2 linked regions of the Caenorhabditis elegans genome follow. The protein of the gene in region 1 purifies or fractionates together with the protein of each later gene. This does not show direct contact. Each region holds a gene or a part of one and is shown in the gene's direction. Other genes may lie near its edges.

Region 1 (7,278 bases):
TTCGCGAAGAAGAAGAGTGAGTCTCATCGCGTGAGAATTCTGAATTTAAATTATTTTAGAGAACGGCCGTGGCCGACGATCGTCTCAAATTTAGGTCATAGGAGATGATTTGAAACATTTTTGTTGAAGAGCGCTGAAGATTTTCATTTAAAAAAGGATGCACTTTATTTTTTCTTTCAATGTTGATGAAAACTTGTATAATTTAAAACAGGTGGTTATATAAATTCGTTTCATTACGATTTTCTAGCTGATTCCGTTCAATATGTTTATGTAATACCGAAAATAAATAATAATAAATAATAAAAAAAATTGATTAAAGCCGTATCATCGTGAGAATTAAAGGCGCATGTCTGGAGTCCAGCTTTCGTTGCGAGACCAACAGAATTACCGTAGGAAAGTTTTAAAAACATTTTTTGTTTGAACAGTTTCTAATTTTTACAGCGTATCCTTGTGCCGCCTCTCAAGTAACTTTTCTTCTATATAATTCTCAGATGTACCGATTCTGTGTGGCATTAACACCAAGCACCTCAGAGGACGAGCAGGTTGTGAGAAAATCAGAGAAGTACATATAAATATAAGTCTATTCTTCATCTGGATCAAAATTGCAGGCCAGCTTCAAAACCACCGACTCCCGAGGTAGAAGACTGCACATTTTCTGAAAAGAACAATGATCAAAGAAAAATTGAAAAAGAAACAGAATCAGAAGAATCGAGTAATTTGAAATTTCCGCCTGCTCGACCATCAATTCGGAATGCGACGGTTTGTTTGTATCATGTTAATTAGAAAAATGTATTACTATTTCAGAATTTCCGCCGAATAATTTGTATTTCTGAATCAGATAGTGGAAAGGAAGAGCCGGTAGTGAAGAAGGAAGTCTTGAAAACAAATAAACTCAGAATATCTGAAACGAAGCCCGAGTATCCTCCAGAACTTCTACAACTTGAAGCAAGACTCCAGGAACTTCGAGCTGGCCGAAAAAATAAACAAGGACGAGTAAGCTGTTTTTAGGTTTTCAATAGTTTATTGAAGATATATTTTGTTTTAGATAAACCGCAAGTTCGTGGCTAAACCCTGTGGAGTTGTGAGTGGAGAGACACCTCAACGTCCATTTCTTGAAGAAATGTATTATTTCAATCCTCAGGAAACTGGAACTGCGAGCGAGATTTTCGACATGCTTTTCCCTGCAAAGTAAGCCTTTTCAATATAGAGTGAATATATTTTTTAATTAAATACCTTTGACAAGTTTCAGAGATACTCCAAATTTTCGCCCATGGCTTGATGGGCACTTTTCGGCTCCAGATTTGCAGTTCAAACAAATAGAAAAACAACGACAAACTAAACTCCATTCATACACAGGGACCACGTTACAAGAAAAAAAACGCAAAAAACGAAAAAAAATATTGAAAAGTATTCAAGAAATATTGTGGCTTCTACACTTCCAGAAACATGATGATTTCTTGGAATCAACGAGTCGCCTCACAATTAAGAACTTTTCATGCCATTTTGATGAACATCAGCGGCTTAAATTGCTGCGTAACAACGATTTATCATTAATATGTAATTATCAAATCGGATCAGAAAATACTCCAATTTTTAACCAAAGAAGCACGGATTGTATGCTTAGACCCGTATTTATAGGTTGGTTACTTTCATATTTAGATGTTTTTAACTTTGAATAATTCGTTTCAGATGGCTTATCATTCATGGACATGCTAATTCCGATCTCATCGTCGCTTCCAATAATTTCCACGAGATCTCTACTTGAAATACTTTTAAATTTCATTCTAGACGGGTGCCAAACTGTAATATACTTGCCAGATTATTATAACGATACAACTAACCAAAAAGTCGATGACTCGACTATTTTTCAATTCTTGTGCAATTCAAAACTTATACAGTTTGTTGACGGGCGGAGTCGGAGGGCTGTGGAACGACAAGTATTGCTTGAAGCTGAAAAGGTTATTCTTTTAGTTTCAAAATTCGTTAATTTGAAAATAAATTTTAGGTCCATGGAGTCTTTGTTTCCTCAGCGGAAGAGTTTCTAACCCGAAACGCTATTCAATGCTTTCCAGTGATTAATCGTTATTCTAAAAGACTTGATGAATTTCTAATTTGCACAGTATTCCTAGTCAATAATCTTCCGAAAAAAATACTCGCACAAGATTTCGTTGAAGAATCTAGAGTTTTGAAACCTGAAGGGAGTTCTTCAGCCGTATCAAGCACAACTGTCCTAGAAGAATCACATCAAAAAATCAGTGGAGCTATGGAAGACTCTGAGGATGAACCTGCTGATCCACAAACGTTGAAACAAGAATATTTGATTAAAGAGGAATGTTCTGAAATATCAGAAGATTCTGAAGAAGGAGCTATCGTCGATGTTGCTTCCAGCTCAGGCGACTTATCCGAAAACGTAGGTGCAATCTAAATTTTGTAAAGTCTAAATTTTTTCAGCGTGATCAGAAATCTGAAAACGAAGAATTTGAATATTCCCCGCATCAGTTAACTCTTGAGCAACAAACATATTTGGTTATTTTTTCCAGTTTTCCGTTCAGATTGATTTATCATCAATATTTCAGATTTCCTCTATGGCGCAACTCTCTATTTTCCATTTCCAACGCTATCGCCAAATAAGAGTATTCCTTATGATTATAAAACGTTACGTGCCAGAACTTTTACCTAGTTTTATGCAAAAAACTCGCATGGATGATGTTGCTATGGCAATTCAAGACATTCAGAACGGGAAGGACCTTCTTTATTGGCCTATTTTCTCAAAAATTGATAATTAATATGTTCAATAAAAATATTTTCGCATTTCTTTGGTTTTAAACTTTTATTTTAAAAATTCTTGGTAATATATACCCTGAAAATTGTATTTTAAACAAACAATTGCATTTTTTGTTTGAAAAATTTTATTTGAATTTTCTGGCAACAACACTCCGAAATTCCGTATGCGCGTGTTGTTTAGCCGCATACGAAACACCCAGTTTCTCAGGAGCATTGATTAAAGTCGGGCTAAAGTAAAGTTAGCAAGCTTCTTTTGAATTTGAAGTTCGTCTTTTAGTTATAATTTCATTTTAAGTAATATGCCTAACCTTCGAATTATTTGTTCTTCTCGATTTATTCGTTAGTTCCTCTGTTCTCAGTATCTTCCCGTCAGATTATCATTACCGACTTTTTTATTCCCATTTTTCATTACTTAGCAGAATCAATCACTTCATTTGGCTGAATAGCTACTATTTTAACACAAGTTTCTTTGATGCTTGTCAGAAGTGTTATTCATTCAAGGTATAAAGCTATAATTAGCTATGCCATCATTTTATATTTCGTCCAGCTCTCGTATCTCGCATTTTTATTTCCATGCGGAGTTTCTGATGATATTTTCTTCATTTTTATTCTAGAATTTCATGATCAATTATATCTCACTAATATTTAATCTTAATTACAGATGCTCCGTTCACTGGTATCCAGTGTGACGACGGGTCCGACTCCAGAATGGGCCGGGAGAATTCTAATGGCCTTCAGTGGACATATCAGTCAGCAGAGAGGTCGCAGAAGAACATTGACCCCAGCTCCATGGCTTCCGCCAGTCAAAGAGAGTGTGCCGAAAAGCAGTGTGGGTATTAGCCAGGGGACAAAGTAAGTTGCATTAATTCTTACCTGTTTAGCAAACGTTTTTGTTCAGAAATCTGCTTGAAACCGTAATTGAGAAAGAAACTCTTGCGGCGTCCACCATTGCATTTCAAAATTCTCAAGAAACCAATGTCTCAGTTGTTGACATTCCAGATTCATCAAGACGTGTGGGTCTGGTTGTCCGCAAAATCGGAATGCTCCCACAATGGACAAATGAAGGAAACCGAATTCTGTGCACTGTGCTTGAAGTTGATGAAAATCATGTTGTCAGTATTACATCACCAGAGGCTTGGTATAAATCGTCAGCCGTCGGAAAAAGAAAGGCTTTCAATCGTCACGGTCCTATGTGGAGAGTTACAGTGGGTGCCGGAAATGATGATCCAACAAAATACACGCTTGGGTACCGTAGGCAATTTGTTCGCGCAGGAATTCCAGTGAAAGGTTGGGTTTTTTTTGTGTTTTGCTCCGCTTTTCGATAGTCCTTCACCGTAAATTCATGGTTAAAAAAATAAATTCAGAGAAACTCGGATGTTTCCTGGTAACAGAAGACGCTCTCCCCAGTGCTGGACAGCCACTTGATGCCCGTCACTTCGGAGTTGGTCAATATGTAACTGCTACTGGAAAAACTATTGACTGGGGATTCCAGGTAATTTTTTTCAATTTACAATAGTCTAAAACTTCCAAAATTTCCCTTGCAAGCCAAGGAGCAAAATAATCTCTCAACCCTTGCGAAATATTTTCGAAACTAGTCGTTTTCAGGGTGGAATGCATCGATGGGGAATGCGTGGACAACCGACAAGACGTACCACAAAATCACATCGTAGAATTGGTTCCGTTGGTTCAGTCGGCGATGCTCGAATTTGGCCAGGAAAACGTATGCCGGGACATATGGGTTATGAGTGGAGGACTGTTTCTGGTTTGGAAGTAAGAAATTGCTCTCGATTTTAATTTTCAATTCATTTATTTAAGATTGTTCGAATCAATGTAGATAAACAAGTAATTTATGTGAAAGGAAGTGTACCTGGTGATATTGGAGAAACAATTCTACTTAAAGATTGCTTACAAGAAGAAAAACGTCTGAAATCCGGCCCAATGCCAACATGGGCTCCATCACTAGAAACCATCGAAGAAGAACCGGAGACAGAACCCGAAGAAGGCACAATTCCCAAAAATCTTCTTTTCAACGAAAAATTCTCGCCCAAACTGTTCCGTTTCACATCTCCATCCATTTTATTCACTGATGCCGACGCCAAGAAGGCCACTGGAAGAGATAAAACGAAAGCTAAGATTGCAAAAGTTAAAAAGTAATGGTGTATCTAATTTTATGATATATTACGGTTTTCCTTTATCGTTTTTTGTCGAAATTCGGTTTATTAGAATTTTTGTTCCGTAGATTTATAGATTTTTCATTGTTTTGCATTGTTTTTGTTTGTTCTGAATACCAAAAAGCAGAGTTTATATTCAATTATTTGTTGATTTTTTTCCAAACCGGTCGTTTACCGAGATTTACTTTATTTCTTAACATTATGCATTCTGAAACTTGGATTCTCAATTTGAAGCGAATGACAAGACTGTGGTGAGCTGGTTAATCGAGAAGTATGGCTGAAAACGACGGGGAAACGATTGTTCCAGACGAACAGTGCAATTTGACGGCCTCAACGCCTATGAAAAGTAGTGGGTTGGAAGTGAGTTGCTTTCTTTTTTCAAAATACTGTTTTTGAAACTTGAATTTTTCAAACTTCAAAGCTAGACAATATTTTTAAAAAATTGTTTATGAAAACAAGCTATAAAATAATAAAAAAGGGAAATATATTAAATTTTCAGCAAGTGGAAAGCCCGAAAGAACGAAAAACTTCAATGGTGGAATGTGATGACGAAGGGAATCCATCATCAGGAACCCCAGATGAATCACCAAAACAATTGACTCCGCATAGCATTCCCCCAAGACGACGACGTTCTCCACGACGCCCGGAAGTGTCAGCTTCTAGACTTCCTCTGAAAGTACTGAATCAGATTTTTCAGTATTTACCATTGAAAGGTAAACATATAACATTTTCCCCCTTGAAGTTACATGGCTCTGTTTTCAGACCTACGATCTGCAATGCTAACCTGTCATAGTTGGAATAACGCTCTTTCAATGGAAGACAGTGACATATGGCAGTACCTTCTTGGCAAGAAGCTTCCAGAAGCAGCAGTTTCCGATCCCTTCCTGCTCGCCGAGCTGGGATCTGCAAAAAAGAAGCTGAGAGCCTGGTATTTTGCCTGGAATACGAGCGATATTTCAAGAAATAACTACATCCGTACCAACGGTTTCACTGTTCACCGGCAGCCAGTTGCTCAGTCAACAGACGGTGTCCGTGGAAAACGAGGGATTTCAAAAGGAGTACACGCATTTGATATAACTTGGGATGGACCGTTGGGAACTGTAGCCGTTGTTGGTATTGCTACTAAGTGAGTAGTTAATTTATTTGAAAATTTAAAGATATATCTTTAACATTTTCAGACATGCTGCTCTTCACTGTGTTGGCTATGTTGCTCTCCTCGGATCAGATGATCAATCATGGGGATGGAATCTTGTAGATAATGTTTTGATGCACAATGGAGCACAGCTTGGTGTTTATCCAAAAATGAACAATCCTCCGAAATATGAGGTATTTCACTAAAAAAATTCAGTTATAAGCCGATGCAAGCAAATATATTTCGTTCTAGGACGAAACAACGGTATTGGGCCACAATTTTACAAAATACGACGTTCTTGTTTTATAAAGTTGTTTAATATGTGAAAAAGTTCAATTTTTCATCTCTAACAATTTAAGAAACATGAACGTCATGGTAAAATCGCATGACGAGTTTTTTTTGAGTTGTCGAGAAATTTCCAATAATTAACTTTTTCTGTATATCTGCATTGTGAAAAGTGCTAGAAATTCAAACCATTTTTTTTATTTCCTCGGCTAGAATTCACAATATTCAAACTTCGATAAATTGAAACAATTATTTTCCATTCACTAAAACTGTACAGAAAAGAAAAATTATATTTTTTAACAAAGTGAAATTTTAAAAATTTAGAACAAGTTTTTTTGTTGTTTTTTTTTTTTAATATTTAACTTCCTGAAAAATTATATTTTGAAATAATGGTTTAAAATCTTCGAATAAACTAATTAGTTAAAAACTGAAATAATCCTTTTTCCAGGTCGGCGATAAAATCCGCCTAATAATCGACTGTGACACCCATGTCGCTTACTTTGAACGAAACTCGGAATTTCTCGGAATCGCATTCAACCATATTCCCCCATTACGTCTCTATCCGGCTGTCTGTGCGGTTTATGGCAACACAGAAGTGACAATGGTGTATGTTGGAAGTCCACAAATGGGTTGAAGACGTTCGCTAGAGCGTATATTCTGACTTCTGCGCGCGTATTTATTCGCCACTCAAAATGTAATTATTCACATGTTTTCATCGCTTGTCTCATATTTCTACTGTTATTATAATTTTCAGAAAAATATGAAAATTATTTAATTCTGATATTAAACTTTACCTGTAATTAAAACACTCATAATAGATCTTTTTCCCGCACGCTTTCCTCTCACACACTTTCTCATTCCCATATTGATCTCTTTTATTGCTTATCGAGCTTTTCTAGTCACTTC
Region 2 (9,548 bases), on another chromosome or scaffold:
CTCATTTGGCCTGCAATTACAGGTTTGTGATAAAGGAGAAGTTATGTCAAAATTATTTTTGTAATTTTCAGAGGAGCTGATGAGCTTCGTTACGCATGGCTCACGTTCCCATCCCTTCATGCCGTCGTCTCATCGTACGCCGCTTGCTTTGCATCTGTAACTTGCAAATTTTTAGTTTTCAAAATTTAAAATATATGGGAAAAGTTTGATCAAAATGCCATGCTCGGCGTTTTCATTTCTGCTTCAACACTAAACAAAAAAATATTTCAAATATGTTAAAGGTTGTCTAAATAGAGCCCGGGTACCCCCAAAGAATCAAAAATTCGATCATTGAAATTTAAATTTTCAAAATTTAATTCTCTCCAGCTCTACATCTACTACATGATTAACTTGCGTGGAGCCCCACTTCTCCGCCCACTCCTTATCTTCGGATTCATGGGACTCTGCATCGTCGACTCGTTCTCCCGTATCAACGGATACAAAAACCATTGGCGTGACATCTGGGTCGCATGGGTCATCGGAATCTTCATGGCTTGGTTCTTGGTGAGTACCTTTAGTAGGCTAGAAATGCAATATAATCTATGATCCTTGTTCAGTGCTACTGCGTCCTGTGCTTCCAAGAAGTCTACCATATGACTATCGAACGTACGCCGATTGTTCAAGAGGAGCGCGTCTCGCCGTTCTTCAGTTGGTTTAGACTTCCACGTGTTCAGGCTCCGTCGGTGAAGGAGGAATATGTGTAAGTTATCAGGTTTTTGTTAGAGTATCTAGGGTTTCAAATTATGGGCTCAAATAAGTTGTTGCTTAGCTTTTACTGCGGTTTTATTACCCATAAGATTTTTGGCTTTTGACATAAAAATACAGTATCGGGTCTCGAAACGATCAAGACCTCGCCGATACAGTATCTAGAAGGATTTCGAAATTTCTTTGAATTTTCTACAAAGTCATAGATTTTGCAATAAAAAAGGGAATCAGACAAAAAATGTTAATTGTATTTTTCTGTCCAAGGTCGCAATATTCCGCAACATGGTAATAAGTAGGCAGGTATAGTGCGCAGGCGCAACTTCAGAACCTGTCTGAACCCCGCCTGCCTATCACCTCTATTCTACGTTGTGGCGCGAATTTACGAGTTTCTAATATTCTTGTAGCTTTAAAATTTGAACTGCAGCGCCAATTTTTGGCGTTCTAGAATGGTCTAGTTCAAATACTTATACTTTTCCATATTTCCAAAAGTTAGGAAACATCCAATAAAATATGTCCAATCACCTAATTTTAGCGTCTACGAGGAAGACGTGGAGCGGCCGAACGGCACACTGCGAAACCGTCATAACCAAGGAAATCGTCAATACGAGGTGACGACAACAACGGAATCCTTCCATAGAACCATCAGTCCACAACAGCAGCAACAACAGCAGCAGGGACATCAAAATGATGGATATCGGTACTAGGTGCATACACTATCAAAATCTCATATCTCTAATTTTCTCCAATCCCAGAAACCCAGTTTTTTTCTTAATTCTGTTATGCTCATCAAAAAGAATTTCTCATCTCTTTCTCTCCCGCTCTCACTTAATTATTTTTTAAATTAATATTTAATCTAACTATGATATTTAAATAAATTTCTCTTGTATGTGTATATACCGTGCTCTTAGCGGAATGCGGCATTTTCTCTATGTCTCTGAATACCCGGCAGTCTTTCGCTTTTTTTGCTTTTACAATTTTTTCGTTTATTTCTTTTTTTTTGCTTTGTTTTGCACCACTCAAACCTTCAACAATAAATTATTCAAATTTCGTATGTTTTTGTGCCCGTCTTGACAACAGTCTCCATGGAGCTCGTCTGAAGATGGTCGAGATGTGTTTTCGTTATATTAGTCATAAGTCGTATGCAGCTGGAGTACGTTGTCTCGCATATTGGCGGAGTGCCAAATTCCGATAAACAGTATCTTTTGGAGAAACAGTGGGTTTCTGAAAAGTGAGTTTTGAAGAATTCCAGTAGAATTTTGAAAACTATCAACTGAGAACAGATAAGATTAGTTGCAGTTATCAACATTTTTTAAAGTATGTTAAAACTTTGCCGTCACTTTTATAAGTAAAATTTTGTCTGAAAATGTATGGAGGGTTATTTAGGATATCTTGGTCATGTTGGACTATCTGAAATTTGTGAATTCGTACAAGTTTTGGCAATAAGCAGGACTAGTAGTAGGCAGGCAAAATTAAAAAATATATCAAGTTTCATTCAAAAATTTGAATTTCCGCGTAAAGGCAACTTCTTATGAAATTTTAATTCAGCCACATTCATTCATTTTCGATCATTTTTGTGGCAAAAATCTAAGTGTTAGCGGATCTTTTTGATTTTTCTTGTATTACAGTTTCAAAACCGGAGCTACTTTTTTTTCAAGGTCCTATTTTTCCAACAAAAAAAATTTGCTCCCAAAAACAAAATTTCAAAACACTTCAGAGTTCAAGAATAACCAAACATCTCAACACAAAACATACTAGAATATTCATTTTTCTGATTTTCAGATCCCTTACCTTCCCAGTGGAAATTGAGCTTCATCTCCGTCAAAAGAGTGAAATTGAGAAGATAGAAATTGTTGCCCATAACAAGTTCATACCGAAAAAAATCTCGATATACTCTGGCCGAGACGAGGAAGGATATATTGGGTTTGTCAATTATTAAAGTTAGTAATCTTAGCTTCCACATTTCCAGGGATGTTCAGTTTAAGAGCAGGAAAAGTGACGATCAAAAGTATGAGCTGAAAAATGTGTTTCTTGATGAAATTTGCTCCATGTTGCTTTTAAGTGTATCAGAAGCCCATGCAGATGTTATCAATAATTTGGAATCTTTGGTTGAATCTTTGTAATTCAAAAGATCTAGTATAAAGTTCAAAAATGTTAAGGTTGGTCTAGTCGATGTCAAGCTTTTTGGTAAATATCTCCCATCTGACGAGCCCATTGAAGCAGATCCTCGAGATTTCAAACCGGGGATTCCGCAAAATGTGATTCCAGATCACAAATATTCAAAAGAACTTCAAGCAATGATTGGTGCAATAGAGAGGAATAAGCAGACGGCTGTTGCGGTAGGTAGGTTTTAAAAAAGTGGAGATCAAATTGATAACTTGTAGAATGAGGACTTCAAGCTAGCAAAATCAGCTCAACTAGCTGTTCGGGATTTGAAGAAATCTACAAAAGAAATGGAAGAACTGGAAAATGATAAAGGCGAGGCTGTAGCTGATGAGGATTTTCAAAGGGCGAATGATCTACAAGGTATGTCACTGCTGCATATCCAAACTTCTACTAATACCCCTACTCTTCAATTTTCAGATGAAATCACTGCGTTACGATCGAATATCCTTGCATCAGTTGATCCACGGTTGCTGGAGGATACCATGGTTCGTAATTCTATAAATATTATTTCACTAACGTTTAGAAGTTAAAGCCGAGAAATGAAGAGATACATCGGCCAAAAAATCTCTTCCCAGAGAACTCGGAGCTGCCTTCCAAACCGAAGCTTTATCAACCAGTTGGTGAGTTTTTTCAAAAAAAAAGTTTAACACTTAAAGTTAACTCCAACATTCTTTCAGACCTTTCCCCAACTGAAGTTCAAGCTGATCCATCTACTGCATTCCTTCTCCCACCTAGACCACCTTCTTCCAGTTCTTCCAGAAGAACTGTAACCCCGAAAAGACCCCAAACAAATGACTCCGTGTCAACTAGAAGAAGTAGTACAACTTGGGAAGTTCCGATTCGGCCGACTACTATGAACTCTCAAATTTCAAGAAAAAGGACTCCATCACCAGTTGTCAGAAAGGCTCCGAGTTCTTCATCATCGAATTCCACTTCTTCTTCTTCAAGACGTGAGCGACTTGAAAAATTAATTTCAGAATGTCAGACTGAATCCAATTTTCAGGAAGAAGCAATAGTATTGGAATGGGAACAAATAAGTTCCTTGAGAAAGAAAATATGATTGTTCCAGCCGCCTTGAACAGAAAACGATCGTCTTCTGTACATCTAGAATCTCAAGATTTTGTGGATAAATCCACGGATGATATAACTGAAGAGCAGGTTCTTTCGATGGTTCCTCCGGATCAGCGTGGAAATGTTAGATCAGCAATTTCACTTTTTGGATTGGAGCCTGTGAGTTGTTAACTTCTCTAATCACGTCACCTCAAATTCGATTTTTAGATCGCAAAAATCTACTCAAAACATTTTGAAAATCGAAAGGAAGGAATCGAGGAAATCCGTGAGAAAATCGATTCGTTGAGTGCGGAGAAAACTTCCAAATATTTCGAGAGCATTAGCTGTTTGTTGGCTCATTTGCTCAAAGAGCCACTATTCACAGTTTACAAAGATGTGCTTCTTCTCTGGCATCACTTTTGTACTTCGAGGCTTCCAAATATGAATCTTGAGAAGTATATTCAGAGAGTTGCATCCGAGACAAGTGAAATTCTAGCGACAAGAGTGTTGTCTAGTGTAAGTCTGGAATTTTTGAACATTGGGTTTGATGCATTGTTTTACGCGACAATTCAGTTATTATGGATTCTGAAATCGAGGTGCACTCTCTATGATAACTGGAAACGCACCGCCCCTGAGCCATGGGTCTCGTTAGGTTCCTTAAATGACTACTGTAGCGCTTGTGCTGATTTACGGGATCTCGATTATCGAAATGAGTTAAAATCATTTATTTGTCACTATAATATGGCCTTCATTCCGAGATGACAAACTTTTTGGTGGCAAAGGCTCTTTGGGGGCATAGTATCCAAGGAGACAAAGTATCCAGTAGACAAACTGGGGTGTATCTTGGGGGGCATATCTTTGGTGACAACCTTTTTTTCAACTAGATTTTTATATGTATTTTTCAACTAATTTTTGTTCACATTTTTCTGGAATAAGTTTTTTAATGCAATTTTCAATCGATTTTCGGTTATAATTCCCTCACAATTGAATGTATGAACGATGGTCTTTTGGGAAAAGGCTGTAAAACGTCCAACTAACTTGGAATATCGTCAGGCTCTTCCTGATGGTCTGATCCTTCAGCTCCGAAGGATCACATGGGTACCTTCTGATGTTCTGATCCTTCAGATAAGAAGGATCGTAAGGGAACCTCCTGATGGTCTGATCCTTTAGCTCCAAAGGATCACGAGGCTCTTCCTGATGTTCTGATCCTTCAGCTCCAAAAGAGCATTGAGCTCTGCCTGATGATCTGATCCTTCCGATGTCACCCAAAAGTTTGTCATCGCGGAGAATTTATCATTATTTGGTAGAAGCTGATTATTATGTATAGTTATACTGTTTCTTGAAAGTTTTCGGTCCTATCATGATAAATTTGAACTATTCTTTAAAGAATAAAGAATAACAAAAAAAATTTCGAGTTTTTTTTCAACATTTATTTTTTTCAAATTTTGTCAAAAATCCATATGAATCCATATGAGGTGGTACCCTTACGATCCTTCTTATCTGAAGGATCAGAACATCAGAAGGTACCCATGTGATCCTTCGGATCGGAAGGATCAGATCATCAGGCAGAGCCTCATGCTCTTTTGGAGCTGAAGGATCAGAACATCAGGAAGAGCCTCGTGATCCTTTGGAGCTAAAGGATCAGACCATCAGGAGGTTCCCTTACGATCCTTCTTATCTGAAAGATCAGAACATCAGAAGGTACCCATGTGATCCTTCGGAGCTGAAGGATCAGAACATCAGGAAGAGCCTCACGATATTCCAAGTTAGTTGGACGTTTTACAGCCTTTTCCCAAAAGACCATCGTTCATATCAGGTTGTCCCATAAGTTTTTGTACTTTTTTTCAAATATTTTTCCAAAACTTCTAGAAAGTTTTAAAATTTTTTCATCGTAGGTCGTGTCAAGGTCGGGTCGTCCCCTTTCAGAAAAGATTCATTTCATCCATTTCTACTTTGCCACGATGACAATCATCAAACTTGAACGTCGAGACGTTAGATTGCTTCTTCTTTATGAATTTCGTCTTGGTCATTCAGCAATGGAAGCGGAACGAAACATATGCGGTGCGATGGGTGAGGGAGCACTCTCTTATAATACAGCAAAGAGTTGGTTTCAAAAGTTCAAGAACGGCGACTTCAGTCTCGAAGAAATAGAACGTTCTGGGCGACCGGTAGAGTTAAATGAAGAAGACCTAGTGAAGCTGGTGGAGGAAGAGCCTCGTCTTAGTCTTCGTGAAATGGAAGAGAAGCTTGAGTGTTGTCATAGCACAATTGCACGTCACTTGGGTCGCCTTGGTTTTACTTCAAAACTTGGAACTTGGGTGCCTCATGAACTTTCGGCATCACAGAAGCTCACTCGGGTCAACGTTTGTACTCAACTTCTAACTTTTCGTCGAAAGTTCGATTGGCTGAACAATCTGGTTACTGGAGATGAGAAGTGGGTGCTCTATGTTAACCATTCCAGAAAACGTCAATGGCTTCCGATCGGTGAGAAAGGAATACCGACGCCAAAGCCTGATCTTCACCCAAAAAAGATTATGATCTGTGTCTGGTGGGGTGTTCAAGGACCCGTGCACTGGGAATTGTTGCCAACTAATAAAACTATCACTGCTGATTACTATTGTGCCCAATTGGACCGAGTTGCAGAAAAGACCAACGGAAAATATGAAAAACTATATTTTCTTCACGATAATGCTAGGCCTCATGTCGCCAAGAAGACTTTCCAAAAGCTGCAAGATCTTGGTTGGACTGTTTTACCGCATCCACCATATTCTCCAGATCTTGCACCAACCGACTACCATTTGTTCTTGTCTCTCAGTGACTACATGCGCGACAAGCAATTCGACGACGAAGAGCATCTCAAAACTGAACTCTCCACTTTCTTCTCATCGCGTTCGCCGGATTTCTTCTCCCGTGGCATCATGATGTTACCTAGTAAATGGCAACAAGTGGTGGACACTAATGGTGAATACTTGTGTGAATAGTACTACTTGTCGCTTGAGAGAAATAAATTTTTTTCAAAAAAAAATAGTACAAAAACTTATGGGACAACCTGATACATTCAATTGTGAGGGAATTATAACCGAAAATCGATTGAAAATTGCATTAAAAAACTTATTCCAGAAAAATGTGAACAAAAATTAGTTGAAAAATACATATAAAAATCTAGTTGAAAAAAAGGTTGTCACCAAAGATATGCCCCCCAAGATACACCCCAGTTTGTCTACTGGATACTTTGTCTCCTTGGATACTATGCCCCCAAAGAACCTTTGCCACCAAAAAGTTTGTCATCTCGGAATGAAGGCCCTATAATATTAATTGTTGATGATTCATGATTCATTTCGAAAAATCGAGCCCGTAAATCGACACACAAATACTACTGTAGTCATTAAAATAATTACTGTAGTTTTTGCTACGAGACATTTTGCGCGTCAAATATGTTGTGCAATACGCGTTCTTTGAACTCTATGTTCCCGTAATACTCTAATTCGAAAATTAAATTTCCAGGAAAAACGACTAGTTTCGGAAACTTTGACAGTTTTCCGAGATGGCTCGAAACTCCCTTCAATCGCCAAATCTTATGGAACCAAATTGCTCTCTTCAAACTCTAAAAATCTGAAAGGAAGAGCTATATTGATTGAGGTCATTGCAAAACTCTATGGTGTTCCGAATGAGCCAACGTGAGAATTAAAAAATCAAAAGATCGGGCGGGAATTCAAATTTTCAGAGGATTAAACGATAAAGTGGTCGCTGGATTTGCCACAAAGTGCATCAGAACTTCTGATCCACAAATCCGAACTATTGGAAAAGATCTAATGGTGAAGCTTTACAAGAATGGATCCATAAAGGTAACATCCCCCGATTCGTTCCTACAGTAACCCCTAAATCATTCAGGTCGTTCGTTCCGAACTGGAAAAGTTCGCCTCCTCTGATTCCAACAATCCCACTTACCAGAAGATTGTTCGCGAAATTTACAACTTTGACGGAAGCAGACCGAAGGCTGAAAAGAAGAAGAAAATCTCGTTTATGCTGTAACATTAACAACCAAATAATAACAAAGAAAAACTGGAAAGTGTCTCTATGTGAACTAAACTAACAATAATGACGAAATTAGAAGAATGATTCTATGTATATAAATTAAGAATAATTGTTTTGATATTATTTCGGAAGTCGGCGAAGTTCATGACTTAACCAAAGAACTGAGGAGAGAAGAGCCATTGAGCCGGATTGATGGCATGCTGCGAGCCAAACAGGGACGTAGTTGATCTGAAAACGAATATAGTTTTTTTTTTCGACGAACAGTATTATTGTTTGCGATTTTAGGGGCAAAATTGCGGTGCCTGGTCTCGACACGACAAATATTATTAAAACAGAAAGGGTGTGCGCCTTTAAAGAGCCTTTAAGACTGTAGTTTCCAAATCATGTTGCAGCTGAATTTTCATTGACTTTTCTTATTTTTTCTCAACTCGTAAATTTATTTAATAAGAAAGTAAATTTTTAAATAAGTATCGAAAAACTATGAAAAATCAGTGAAAATTCCGGAATAATGAATGCTTGATCCTACAGTACTCCTTAAAGGCGCACACCTCTTCGTATTTAATATAAATTTGTCGTGTCGGAGCCGGGTACTGCATTTTCGGCGCTAAAAATACAAAATTTGAAGATACATACAAGTGTGAAAACTCCAAGAGCCGCCTGTCCAAACACTGCTGCAACTGTCAGATTAAGTGCCATCCGTGTCCTCTTCGGAATCGGCGCCCGTCGACCAATCAAAAACGTTGAAAGTACACTAATCACGGTCAAATATGCCAAATTTCGGTGCACAAACTGCACGGTAACATCATTTTCGAAAAAGTTCTTCCATGTCGGTGAACGCGACAACATGTTCTCGGGAATCCAATTTTCGGCGAATTTAGGCCATGAATTATAGACAAGACCAGCGTCAAGTCCGGCGACGAAAGCACCCATAATTGCAGTAGAGAATACCATTAACTTGGATCCATGAGTCATTCCACGAAGGGCTCCGAGTTTAGAACGCACCTTTGAGAGCTGGAAAAAATAAAATAAGAAAATGGAATTTGAAATCATTTCAGAGTCTTACATCATGTGGCTTCACTAAATGAGAAAGTCCATTCCAGAAGAAAATCGAATAGAGCACAAAAGCCATCGTCAAATGGGTAGCCAGCCGATACTGTGATACTCTCGGAACATCCGATGAATTCTTCGATGGATCAAGCCCCGACTTGACCATCCACCATCCGATGCCTCCCTGAGCCAGCAAAAGTGTGGTGGCCAGTGCCATTCGTCGCTTCATATCCGGTGCGAATCGGCCACGAGCCCAGAAATAGGCGCACGGGATCAGGAAAACGATACCGATGGCGCGTCCCCACATTCGATGGCCATATTCCATTGACCAAATGAATTTGAACTCGTTTAGTGTCATCTCTTCGCTTGAGGATTTGCTGAAAATTAACGTTTTTATTTTCAATTTGAATTCCAGACGATTTTCTGCCACAAAATACGGTATCCGGTCTCGACACGACAATTTTTGTTTCATGAGAAAAGGTGTGCACCTTTAAAGAGAACTGTAATTT

The links. Proteins that work in one complex are often made in the same cells at the same time.
Region 2: the proteins of mrps-18C (region 1) and T06D8.2 fractionate together in Caenorhabditis elegans (co-fractionation; one large-scale study listed by BioGRID). This does not show direct contact.

What each region holds. Positions count from the first base shown.
Region 1 is NC_003281.10:4,932,133-4,939,410, forward strand, and holds mrps-18C (Large ribosomal subunit protein uL3m), read left to right. Parts: upstream 1-3,445; coding exon 3,446-3,636; intron 3,637-3,682; coding exon 3,683-4,071; intron 4,072-4,148; coding exon 4,149-4,276; intron 4,277-4,389; coding exon 4,390-4,554; intron 4,555-4,599; coding exon 4,600-4,938; 3' UTR 4,939-5,089; downstream 5,090-7,278. Other genes in the region: C26E6.12 (OBG-type G domain-containing protein), read right to left, coding at 1-27; eri-9 (Zc3h12a-like Ribonuclease NYN domain-containing protein), read left to right, coding at 347-389, 442-562, 609-759, 805-993, 1,046-1,188, 1,244-1,638, 1,690-1,958, 2,006-2,410 and 2 more; fsn-1 (F-box/SPRY domain-containing protein 1), read left to right, coding at 5,229-5,315, 5,455-5,668, 5,718-6,081, 6,134-6,281, 6,821-7,006.
Region 2 is NC_003280.10:11,224,796-11,234,343, forward strand, and holds T06D8.2 (UVR domain-containing protein), read left to right. Parts: upstream 1-1,883; coding exon 1,884-1,972; intron 1,973-2,523; coding exon 2,524-2,664; intron 2,665-2,710; coding exon 2,711-2,849; intron 2,850-2,900; coding exon 2,901-3,080; intron 3,081-3,125; coding exon 3,126-3,267; intron 3,268-3,324; coding exon 3,325-3,392; intron 3,393-3,439; coding exon 3,440-3,527; intron 3,528-3,584; coding exon 3,585-3,857; intron 3,858-3,910; coding exon 3,911-4,137; intron 4,138-4,185; coding exon 4,186-4,473; intron 4,474-7,461; coding exon 7,462-7,634; intron 7,635-7,681; coding exon 7,682-7,802; intron 7,803-7,848; coding exon 7,849-7,989; 3' UTR 7,990-8,040; downstream 8,041-9,548. Other genes in the region: plpr-1 (Phosphatidic acid phosphatase type 2/haloperoxidase domain-containing protein), read left to right, coding at 1-22, 72-156, 367-543, 597-739, 1,277-1,448; cox-15 (EOG090X04TT), read right to left, coding at 8,113-8,220, 8,626-9,003, 9,056-9,416.